Linked DNA regions of Mus musculus. The protein of the gene in region 1 interacts with the protein of each later gene in a biochemical or structural test. Links are inferred from orthologs where the notes say so. Each region holds a gene or a part of one and is shown in the gene's direction. Other genes may lie near its edges.

Evidence for each region. The genes of interacting proteins can lie anywhere in the genome.
Region 2: the proteins of Khdrbs1 (region 1) and Lyn form a complex in vitro, tested with the Homo sapiens proteins (3 studies listed by BioGRID and IntAct, with this or other methods). The link is inferred for Mus musculus from reciprocal best matches to the Homo sapiens genes KHDRBS1 and LYN.

The regions. Positions count from the first base shown.
Region 1 is NC_000070.6:129,737,979-129,744,747, reverse strand, and holds the start of Khdrbs1 (KH domain-containing, RNA-binding, signal transduction-associated protein 1), read left to right. Parts: upstream 1-2,444; 5' UTR 2,445-2,587; coding exon 2,588-2,969; intron 2,970-6,769. UniProt on the Homo sapiens protein: Recruited and tyrosine phosphorylated by several receptor systems, for example the T-cell, leptin and insulin receptors. Once phosphorylated, functions as an adapter protein in signal transduction cascades by binding to SH2 and SH3 domain-containing proteins.
Region 2 is NC_000070.6:3,779,121-3,782,620, forward strand, and holds part of Lyn (tyrosine-protein kinase Lyn), read left to right. Parts: intron 1-1,792; coding exon 1,793-1,946; intron 1,947-3,500. UniProt on the Homo sapiens protein: Non-receptor tyrosine-protein kinase that transmits signals from cell surface receptors and plays an important role in the regulation of innate and adaptive immune responses, hematopoiesis, responses to growth factors and cytokines, integrin signaling, but also responses to DNA damage and genotoxic agents.

The DNA.
Region 1 (6,769 bases):
GTTGAGACAGGGTTTCTCTGTGTAGCCCTGGCCGTCCTGGAACTCACTTTGTAGACCTGGCTGGCCTCCAACTCAGAATCCGCCTGTCTCTGCCTCCCTAGTGCTGGGATTGGCTACTTATAAAAATTTTAAGTTATGTTTAGATCTTTATTTTTGTGTGTGTATGTGTACATTTTGTTTCATGGCACATGTGTAGATCTGAGGACAACTTTTGAGAGTCAGTTTTTTCCTCCCACTGTGTAGTCTTGGAGATCGACTCAGATCTTCAGGCCTGAAGATGATTTAACCAGCTCAGACATCTTGACATCTCAGCCTCAGACTTTTTTTTTTTTTTTTAAAAACTTCTCTTTTTTATTTTTTATTTATTATATGTAAGTACACTGTAGCTGTCTTCAGACACTCCAGAAGAGGGAGTGTCAGATCTTGTTACAGATGGTTGTGAACCACTATGTGGTTGCTGGGATTTGAACTCTGGATCTTCGGAAGAGCAGTCGGGTGCTCTTACCCACTGAGCCATCTCACCAGCCCAGCCTCAGACTTTTAATGGGATTTAATTTGGGTTCCATCTGCATACAGTACCCTAGGATGAAGAGATCTTAGAGACTGTGCCCTGGTCCTTACAGCAGTACTATCTGTCTCATGGTGATTTATGTCTTGTTATTCCAGTATTCTGAAGATTAAGACTGAGTTGTTTTGAGTTCAAAGCCACTCTGGGTTAGAGAGTGAGTCACTGACTCTGCAGTGAAAACACGTGTTAAGGAAAAATGAAAGTATTTGTCTTTTTGAAAGAGTGCAGGGGGATCCCTTGTGAAGGACCAGCATTCAGAGCAGGAGTACTAGGAGCTCTGAGAACTAGGCAGCCAACATGGGCTAAGGACTGGCCCTGGAGTCACCGTTTTACAGAATAAACAGAAGGTGGCAACAAAACAATTCAGTCTAACAGGTGCTAGGACTGCAGTTTGTCAGAGACCTAATATAAGATGCTTCTTAGTTTGTTTTTGGGGGACAGGGTGGCCTGTCCTAGGTGGCCTGTAGCTGTGCTGTGTATGTAGGCCAGACTTGTCTCAAACATGAGGTAATTCTGTGGCTTTTCCTCCTCAGCGCTAGGATGCATAACCACCTCATCCCCTTAGTATGGCTGGACATGAAGGCCTCTATGTGCAAGTAGAGGTCAGAAAACTTGGGAGAGCTGGTTCTCTCCTATTTTGGGCCTGGGGCTAGAACTCAGGTTGATAATAGTCCCCTCCACCCCCAACGAAATAAGCTAATTCAAGAATAATTTTTTTTAAAAAGGCATATCTATTTGGAAATGGGTTCCCGGGTGAGTCCACCAGCCTCAGAGGTCGGGGGCAGAGTATGGCTGGTACTTTTTTGATAGATTGTAGGCGAAGAAAATGACAAGTCTACCACAAGCTGGGCTTGTGCCCAGGTATGGTCATCTAGGGTGGGGCTTGGGTGGCTGGTGACTAAAGATGAGGATTAGTACAGTCAGGAATTCAGGACTGGATTTTTTGGCGCCTTTTTGTGTTCTGAGGCTTTCTGAGTAGGCGGGGTTGGAAGGAGAGAGAGAGAGAAAATTTGGAATTTACCGGGGATGAGTGGGTGGGGAACAAGCCAACAAGCCGGGGACTCCAAAAACAGGTGATAAGCAGCATTACCAGTTGACCCGACCCCAAATGCATCTTTTAATAATTCTCTCACTAGTTTTGAACCTGCTCTAATGGAAATCTTGCCGACTGACTTCCTGGATGCCCTACTTGGGTATGGAGGGAGCCCTTTTCTTCCGGTCTTTGCGTCTCTGACTGACCCCTTCGACTCCTTCTGAGTTTCAGTTCTGCAACACACAGCATTCCCCATTCCTGGCTTCCCTTTCGCACACTCATCACTTATCTCTGGGTCAGCCTCCTCCCTCCCACCACGCCCGCCCGCATCCCCATCTTCCCATCCCGTTCGCTCGCGCAGTCTTTCCCTCTCTTCCGGCTTCACTTGGCTCTAACCCTCGCGTCCCCCTCTCTCCAGAAGCGTTCTTTTCATTTCCCGGTTGGAGGGGCGGCCCCCGATTCCACTCCGGGGCACCGCTCCCTCGGGGACCTCCCCAGGCTCGGCCGTTGAAGGAGGCGTGGCGCACGAATAACAGGTCTCCTGCCGCACACTCCGCGGGCCCGAGCGCAGACAAAGACATTCCACGGCGCCCGCCCCCTCCGCGCACTCCGCCCGGGGGAGGGGGAGGGGAGACACGTGTACCGCTAGCGCCGGGTCACGTGGAAAAGAAAAAGAAATGAAGGAAGGCGGCGGGCGCCCGCGCAGGCGCCCTAAGCTCGGAGCCCAAGCGGGGAGGCGACGTCTTCAGTCGGCGCAGGCGCCGTGGTCCAACTGGGGACTTTGTTCTCCGCGGAGAAACTCAAGGGCGGTGCCGGTAGGCGCCTGCGCACGCGCGCCGCCTCATTTCCGGTGCTCTCTCGCTGGGTCGCTCGGGTCGGCTTCGGTCGCTGTCGCTCCTGTTCTTCCACCCCCGCCAACCGCCGCTCGGGCCTCAGCTGCCGCCGCGTCGCTTCCTCGCTCGTTCGCTCGCCACCCATCATCCCCGATGCAGCGCCGGGACGATCCTGCCTCGCGCCTCACCCGGTCCTCGGGCCGCAGCTGCTCCAAGGACCCGTCAGGTGCCCACCCCTCGGTGCGTCTGACCCCGTCTCGGCCGTCGCCGCTTCCTCACCGGCCCCGGGGAGGGGGAGGTGGGCCCAGAGGAGGCGCTCGGGCCTCGCCCGCCACCCAGCCGCCGCCGCTGCTGCCTCCCTCCACCCCTGGTCCCGACGCGACGGTGGTGGGTTCCGCGCCGACCCCGCTGCTGCCCCCGTCAGCCACAGCCGCGGTCAAGATGGAGCCGGAGAATAAGTACCTGCCTGAACTCATGGCCGAGAAGGACTCGCTCGACCCGTCCTTCACTCACGCCATGCAGCTGCTGTCCGTAGGTAAGCGGTTCTTGGCGGGTCCTCTGGGTCTCCCGGTCCTGACTGTGGGTGGCCGCCGCTTTGTTCTTGCTCCCACCCCCTCGGAGCCCGGGCATCGAGAGTTGTCATCTCGACCTGGCCTTCGAGATTCTGCACCCACAGTCCCACCCGGGCTCAGGGTGTAAGGGAAGATTTCTGAGCCACGGACGAGGCCCGAAGAGGACTCGCGATCTCAGAGCGCGGAGAGCTTGATGGATAGTACCGTGCTCCCGCCCCCTTCTCCTCCCGTAGTAGTTGCCCCGCGCGCCAAGGGCCGGCTCTTAACAGAAATGAACCTATTTCTCCCCGCTTTCCCAAAGAGGAAACATTTGGGGGGGGGAATCGCGGGTGATGGAGACCTGGGGTGTAAGGTAGAGATAGCCGGAATGCCGGTCCCGCACAGCGCATCTACGGAGCGGGGCGGGATTTAGCGGGAACTCGGGTTTAAGTTCATTAGAGGTCGGGGCGACGAGAGAATCCGTGAGCTTGAGGTTTTCTCAAGCCAAGCTTTCCATTTCGGCCTGTCGAGTAAGAATTGCTGCAGACCCGGATGGTTTCTCTGTTTTATTTTGAAATGTGTTTCTGAAGTTATGCAAAAGTGTGTGTGTGTGTGGGGGGGGGGTTGTGATAGCCCAGGAGACCGTAGAAAGAAATGATAGAGGGAGGTAAGGGGCGGCAGGCAGGTTCTTTTGCGTGAGATGAACGAGAAATTGGTCTTTTTGTTTTAGTTTTTGCTGGAGTAGAGATAGTTTAAGAATGGTAGTCTTTGTTCTCTGATTGTAGACTATGGAGCTCTCTTCTCCGGACTTGAGCGACTTAGATATTTTTCCTTATTCAAACCGCCGCCTGTTGTTAGACATGGTTTTAGTATTTTTTATGATATCGAATTTTTTTTTTTTTTTGATTTTGGTTTTTCGATACAGGGTTTCTGTATAGCCCTGGCTGTCTTGGAACTCACTTTGTAGACCAGGCTGGCCTCGAACTCAGAAATTCGCCTGCCTCTGCCTCCCGAGTGCTGGGATTAAAGGCGTGCGCCACCACTGCCCGGCTGATATCTAATTTTTATTAAGCATCTAATACCCACAGTCTGTCCTACTGGTTGAATAGTTGGACTGTTGAGGGGCTGATGGAACCTTGTCACCAGACAAAAACTGGGAAGGTTGAGCGGATTCAGAAACCCTACTCTGAACCTGGAACACTTGACCAAGACACCCCATGAGTCAGTCACACGGGGTGTTAAACCCCCCCCCCAACACCTGAAGGCCCTCCCTCCACATGCAGATGTAGCATCCCTAACTTCTCCGACCAAGCCAATAGAAAGCATCTGCTTTTAGATCCCACCCCACCCCAAAATGTATATTAGACCCTAGCCACAAGGAATAAAGGTTATTTCATCAAAGACTGCCTGAGAGCTTCAGAATTCTCCCCCCTCTCCTTTGGAGAGCAATGCTCCAGAGCCCCCAGATCTCCTCTGATAGCGTCCAGTACACAGAGCATTGCACTCTGGCCAGAACGATATCGTGGACAGTTCATTGTGAAAGAGCACTATCTAATGGAGAGACAAATCAGCCTTTAAGAGCACTGTCTGCTCTTCCACAGGGGTTCAGTTCCCAGCACCCACATCAGAAGGCTTTCAGACACCTGTAACTTCAGTACTGGGGGATCCTGTTTTTGTTTTCTTTGGTGGTTTTTTTTTTTTTTTTTTTTTTTTTTTGGTTTCTCTGTATAGCCCTGGCTGTCCTGGAACTCACTTTGTAGACCAGGCTGGCCTCGAACTCAGAAATCCGCCTGCCTCTGCCTCCCAAGTGCTGGGATTAAAGGCGTGCACCACCACGCCCGGCTGTTTTCTTTGTTTTTTTTTGTTGTTGTTGTTTTTTCGAGACAGGGTTTCTCTGTATAGACCTGGCTGTCCTGGAACTCATTTTGTTGACCAGGCTGGCCTCTGCCTCCCAAGTGCTGTGATTAAAGGCATGCACCACCACCACCGGCCTGATGTTATCTTATGTCCTACACAGGTACTCAAAATACAAAGCTGAAAAGAAATAAAAGGAATATACCATTTTCCCTTCATCTGCTCTCTGTTTCCCAGCATTGTTGAAGGGGATTTACCGTTTGTATAATGCAAAAAGGTCACGGATCTACAATGACTTAAAGACCTGCTTTTCTTTCCAGTCAAATATGAAAACAGCAAATAAGGGCCTTTGAAGCACAGTAAACAAAACCTGTGGTCAGTGAATAGAAACATCAACTCTGTGCATGTCAGCTTGGTACCTCTATTCTGTAATACTTGGGCTCTTACGTTTCTGTTCTTTTGTTCTGACAACTTAGTAAAATTTTGATTTTTTTTTTTCCTTTTTTTTCTTTTTTAAAAAAAAAAAGGTCTCAAGTAGCTGAGGCTGGGTACTCTCTGTATAGCCACTGGTGACCTTGAATTTGTGGTCCATTTCCTCGAGGGTTTGGGAAGTGAGCCCCACCACACTCAGTTTGTGCAATGCCTAGGATCAGACATAGTACTCTACTAACTGATTTACAATTTGGGTCATTATTTTTTATATTTTTTTCATACTGGCTTGCAAATAGCAAACACCTGTGTTTGATTGGCACTTCGAATAAGTACCTGCAGACTGAAGAATACCATTATGGTAGAGGTTGACTTGCTAATCTTATTTTTATTTCCTCAAATCTTTACAACCTGTCAGATTAATTGCTGAAGAGTTATGTCAATTTTAAGATGTTAACTTTGGAGAGTGACCCTTAGTGACTTGGTCCTGTGAAATTGACTAAGACTGCGGTGTCATCTCTAAAGTAGTGAGTGTGAGGTCTGTTATATGTAAAATCAGCCAGGTTCCTTTGACCTGTACTCACTAGATAAAATGTCACCATGGTTTTCTTTTGGTATAATTCCTATATATATAAGGCATAATGTGGCCTTTCTGACATCAAGTACGGTGATCATTCTCTTTTTAACGGATTTTTGGGGTTCACAAAAATAGTTTCTTTTTTTCTTTTTCTTTTTTTTTTGACCTAGCTTTATTTTATTTTATTTATTTATTTGTTTTTGTTTTTGTTTTTTTTTTTTTGTTTTTTTTTTTTTTTTGAGACAGGGTTTCTCTGTGTAGCCCGGGCTGTCCTGGAACTCACTTTGTAGACCAGGCTGGCCTCGAACTCAGAAATTCGCCTGCCTCTGCCTCCCAAGTGCCGAGATTAAAGGCGTGCACTACCACGCCAGGCAAAAATACTGTTTCTTAAATGTTTCTTTTAGCTCTGCAGTCAGAGTTTAACTTTGGTGTGGTTACTAAGAGAAAACACTTTAAAGTTGGGTCTTTTTTGCTTTTGCCTTATTTAAATTTATTAATTATTTTCTATGTGCATTGGTGTTTTGCCTGCATGTCTGACTGTGAGGTTGTCACATCCCCTGGTCATGGAGTTAAAGACCAATGTGAGCTGCCATCTGGGTGCTGGGAATTGAACCCAGGTTCTTTGAAAGAGCAGGCAGTGCTCTTAACTGCTGAGCCATCTTCCTGGCCCCAGTTTTTGTTTTTGTTTGTTTTTGAGCTAGGGTCTAACAATGTAGACTAGGCTGTCTTCAAACTTAGATCCACCTGCCTCTGCCTCTGGATGGCTGAGAAGACAATCCTATTACCATTACAGATGAGAGATAGAGGTACACAGATAATAGTTGACTAAGTTAACACAATTAAACAACATCAACAGGATTTACAGTCTACATTTGATTCACACACTGACTCCTTTTCCCTCAGACAGCTAAAAGTTTTTTCCTT
Region 2 (3,500 bases), about 130 Mb from region 1:
CACAGCATGATGTAATGAGGCTGCTGCTCACAGTGATGGAGGAGTCTGGTCCTTCCAGATGAGCTGCTGCAGTTTAAGGCAGAATCTGGGGGGCAATGGACTCTATTAGAAGTAATCCTAATTGGAAGTGACTTCTAACTCTCTTAAACACACACACACAAACATACAGACAAGCACACACAAACACACACACACACACCATAAGCCTGCACACAAGCAAACACACGTAAACACACACACAAGCACACACAAACACACATCACAAACATGCACACAAACAAGCAAACACAAACACACACCACAAACATGCACACACACAAGCACACACAAACACGCACCACAAACATGCACATAAACAAACACAAATAAACACATACAAGCACACATGCACACACACCTTCATTCCTTATCCTTGACTGTAATTTGGTGGAACAATCCTCTAATTTATTTTAGAGCTCTGCCACACTTCCTGCCAGCACTAAGTGGCACCTTCTTCTCTCGAGGTCATTGTCTATTGGAATCCTTCATTCTGCCTCATGCCCTTGCTTTGTTGTCAGAGTATATTCAGTTCATCTTGAGGGACTGTGCTCAGAGGCTCTGGAGAGCTGGACCTACAGCTCTTCCTTAGCAAGATCTTGATAGAGTGAGTCTTACTAACAAGCACAGCCCTCATGTCCTGGTGCCTTATAATGAACTTGTATTATTAAAAATTCAATTTCTTCACTTCTTTTGTCTTAGTTCTGGTTTCTACCACAAATCATCATGGACTGCATGGCTCACACAACAGGCATTTACTTCTCAGAGTTCTAGGGATGTCCGGGAGGAAGTGCCAGCACATTCAGTTCCTGGCTCAGGCATGCACACATGCATGCACACATGCATGCACACACACACATTCTCCCTTAACAGCTATGGCTACCCAAGGTGGAAGGGACCAGGAAGCTCTCTGTGGTCTCTTGTGTAAGGACACCAAGTCTTCCATGATGCCCTGACTTATTACTTTACAACTGCCAACACATAAGGATCATATTGAGGGTCAGGGTATCAATATATGAATTTGGGGGCTACAACATCCAGAGAATAGCATATATTTCCTCACTTAAGAATCTAAGATTATGCCGGGCAGTGGTGGCGCATGCCTTTAATCTCAGCACTTGGGAGGCAGAGGCAGGTGGATGTCTGAGTTCAAGGCTAGCCTGGTCTACAAAGTGAGTTCCAGGACAGCCAGGGCTATACAGAGAAACCCTGTCTCGAAAAACTGAAAGAAAGGAAAAAAAAAAAAAAAAAAAAAAAAAAAAAAAAAAAAAACCAAACCAAAACCCATTACCATGGGGCTAAAAAGATAGCTCAGTAGTTAAGACCACAAACTGCTGTTAGAGAGGGCCCAAGTTCAGTTCCCCGTTCTCATGTTGGGCTGCTCTCAACTGCCTGCAACTCCAGCTCCAGGGGATCTGATGCCCCCTTCTGGCTTCTATGAGCAACTACATGCAATGTTTACACTGTCACACAAAAGATGCACAAACACACACATACACATATGAACACACACAGAGACATACAGATAATAAAACCTTCTTTGAAGTTATCATCATTGTAGATGTTAGGGACAGATTTTAGAAAGGATTCTAAGGGTGACTTTAGCACTATCTTAAAAATGTGAACAACAGGAATAATAATACACATGAAAGAATCTCAAAAGCTCAAGTTCTGTGTTTGTGTTTGTTTTGTTTTTCTTGATGGCCAACCATGACAGCCTATCTAGAATACAAGCCTGAGCCCCTTCTATTTGCAGATTGCAGAAGGCATGGCGTACATCGAGCGGAAGAACTACATCCACCGTGATCTGCGAGCTGCTAACGTCCTGGTCTCTGAGTCACTCATGTGCAAGATTGCAGACTTTGGCCTCGCGAGAGTCATCGAAGATAACGAGTACACAGCAAGGGAAGGTATGTGTGCTGGGCCACAGAGGCCATCTCACTGCAGGCTTGTGCTCTGCTTTCCACACTTTGACCCCCGTGCCTGATGCCCTCCTGTTTCTCCACCCCCAATTCCACCAAGTGTTCTCTCTGTTCCCACAGTCCTCACGTCTACCTTCAAGACAGGGGGTTGCTGTGTAACAAGATTCATAAACAGTAGCAACTATTTTCTTCTTCGCTGTTTCTTAGATAAGGGGTTGTTTTACTCTTTGGTACTGGGGATCAATGGACTAGGGCCTCGTGCTTGCAAGGGAAGAGCTCAACCACTGAGTGGTAGCACGGTCTTGCTGTGTAACCCAGGCTGGCCTCAAACTCTAAATCCTGCTGCCTTAGCTTCCCAAGTGCTGGGATTACACAGGTGTGTACATCCAGCCTCGTATTTCAATTCGTCAAACTAAAACAAAACTGAATTGGCAAAATTAAGATTCTTTTTTTTTTTTTTAGCCTGTCAGGTAGATTTTTTCTCTCAATAATAAAGTATGTGTGCTTCCCTGAACTGCAGAGACGTTTGTTACACTCATTCAATGCTGCAGACCACTGATGACAGACCTCAGCTGTTCTGCAGCTCTAGAGATCACTCTGTAAGGGGCTGAGTCTGGATCCGCACCAGAGAATCCGGCTTCTAAGTACATGAGCAAGAACCGAGTCCACTGGTTTGTTGATACCAGCAAGCAGTGAGTCTTTGAAAAATACCAGAAAGGTACAAAGATCATAAGGAACATGTTAGGATTGAACCAAATAGAAAGTGGTAACATGGAGATGCTCTCAGTCTCTGCATCTCTGTCCTCCCATCATGCAGCACTGCTCCAGACTGTCTGGCAATAGTCCAGGAATCAGTGATACGCTCCAGCACACAACAGGTGTACACAACTGTCTTTATTGCTCTTGTAGGGACTTCCAGTTTTAGTAAGGCACTTCAAAAGAAAACTCATGCAAAGACATAGTAAAGGTAATGTCTTCAAGCAATGGCTATGAACCCTTAGCAGTTCCATGAATGATCAAGTTACAGTCTGTGCCAAGTCTTGCTTTCCTTTAAGGAAATTATATATAATTCTGGCTGTGGATATAGTTCAGTGGTCAAATGTGTACTTAGCATTCATCCCCAGCACTAGAAGTTAAGTAGGCAAATTTAAATGAAATATAAGATGTATCCATGGAAACTTAGAATGGGCCCATTAAGGAAAAACCTGAACTGTTTTATAGAGGTTTGGTTTGACATTTTCATAGGTTTGTTTGGTTTGGGTTTTTGAGATGTGATCCTGCATTGCTTTCCAGGTTAGCTTTAAATTCCTTTTTTTTTTTTTTTTTTTTTTTTTTTTTTTGGTGTTTTGAGACAGGGTTTCTCTGTATAGCCCTGGCTTTCCTGGAACTCATTTTGTAGACCAGGCTGGCTTCGAACTTAGAAATCTGCCTGCCTCTGCCTCCCGAGTGCTGACTGCTGAGATTAAAGGTGTGTGCCACCATGCCCAGCTCTAACTTTAAATTTCTTGTACCAAGAGATGCTCCATCCCTCCGCTGAGAATA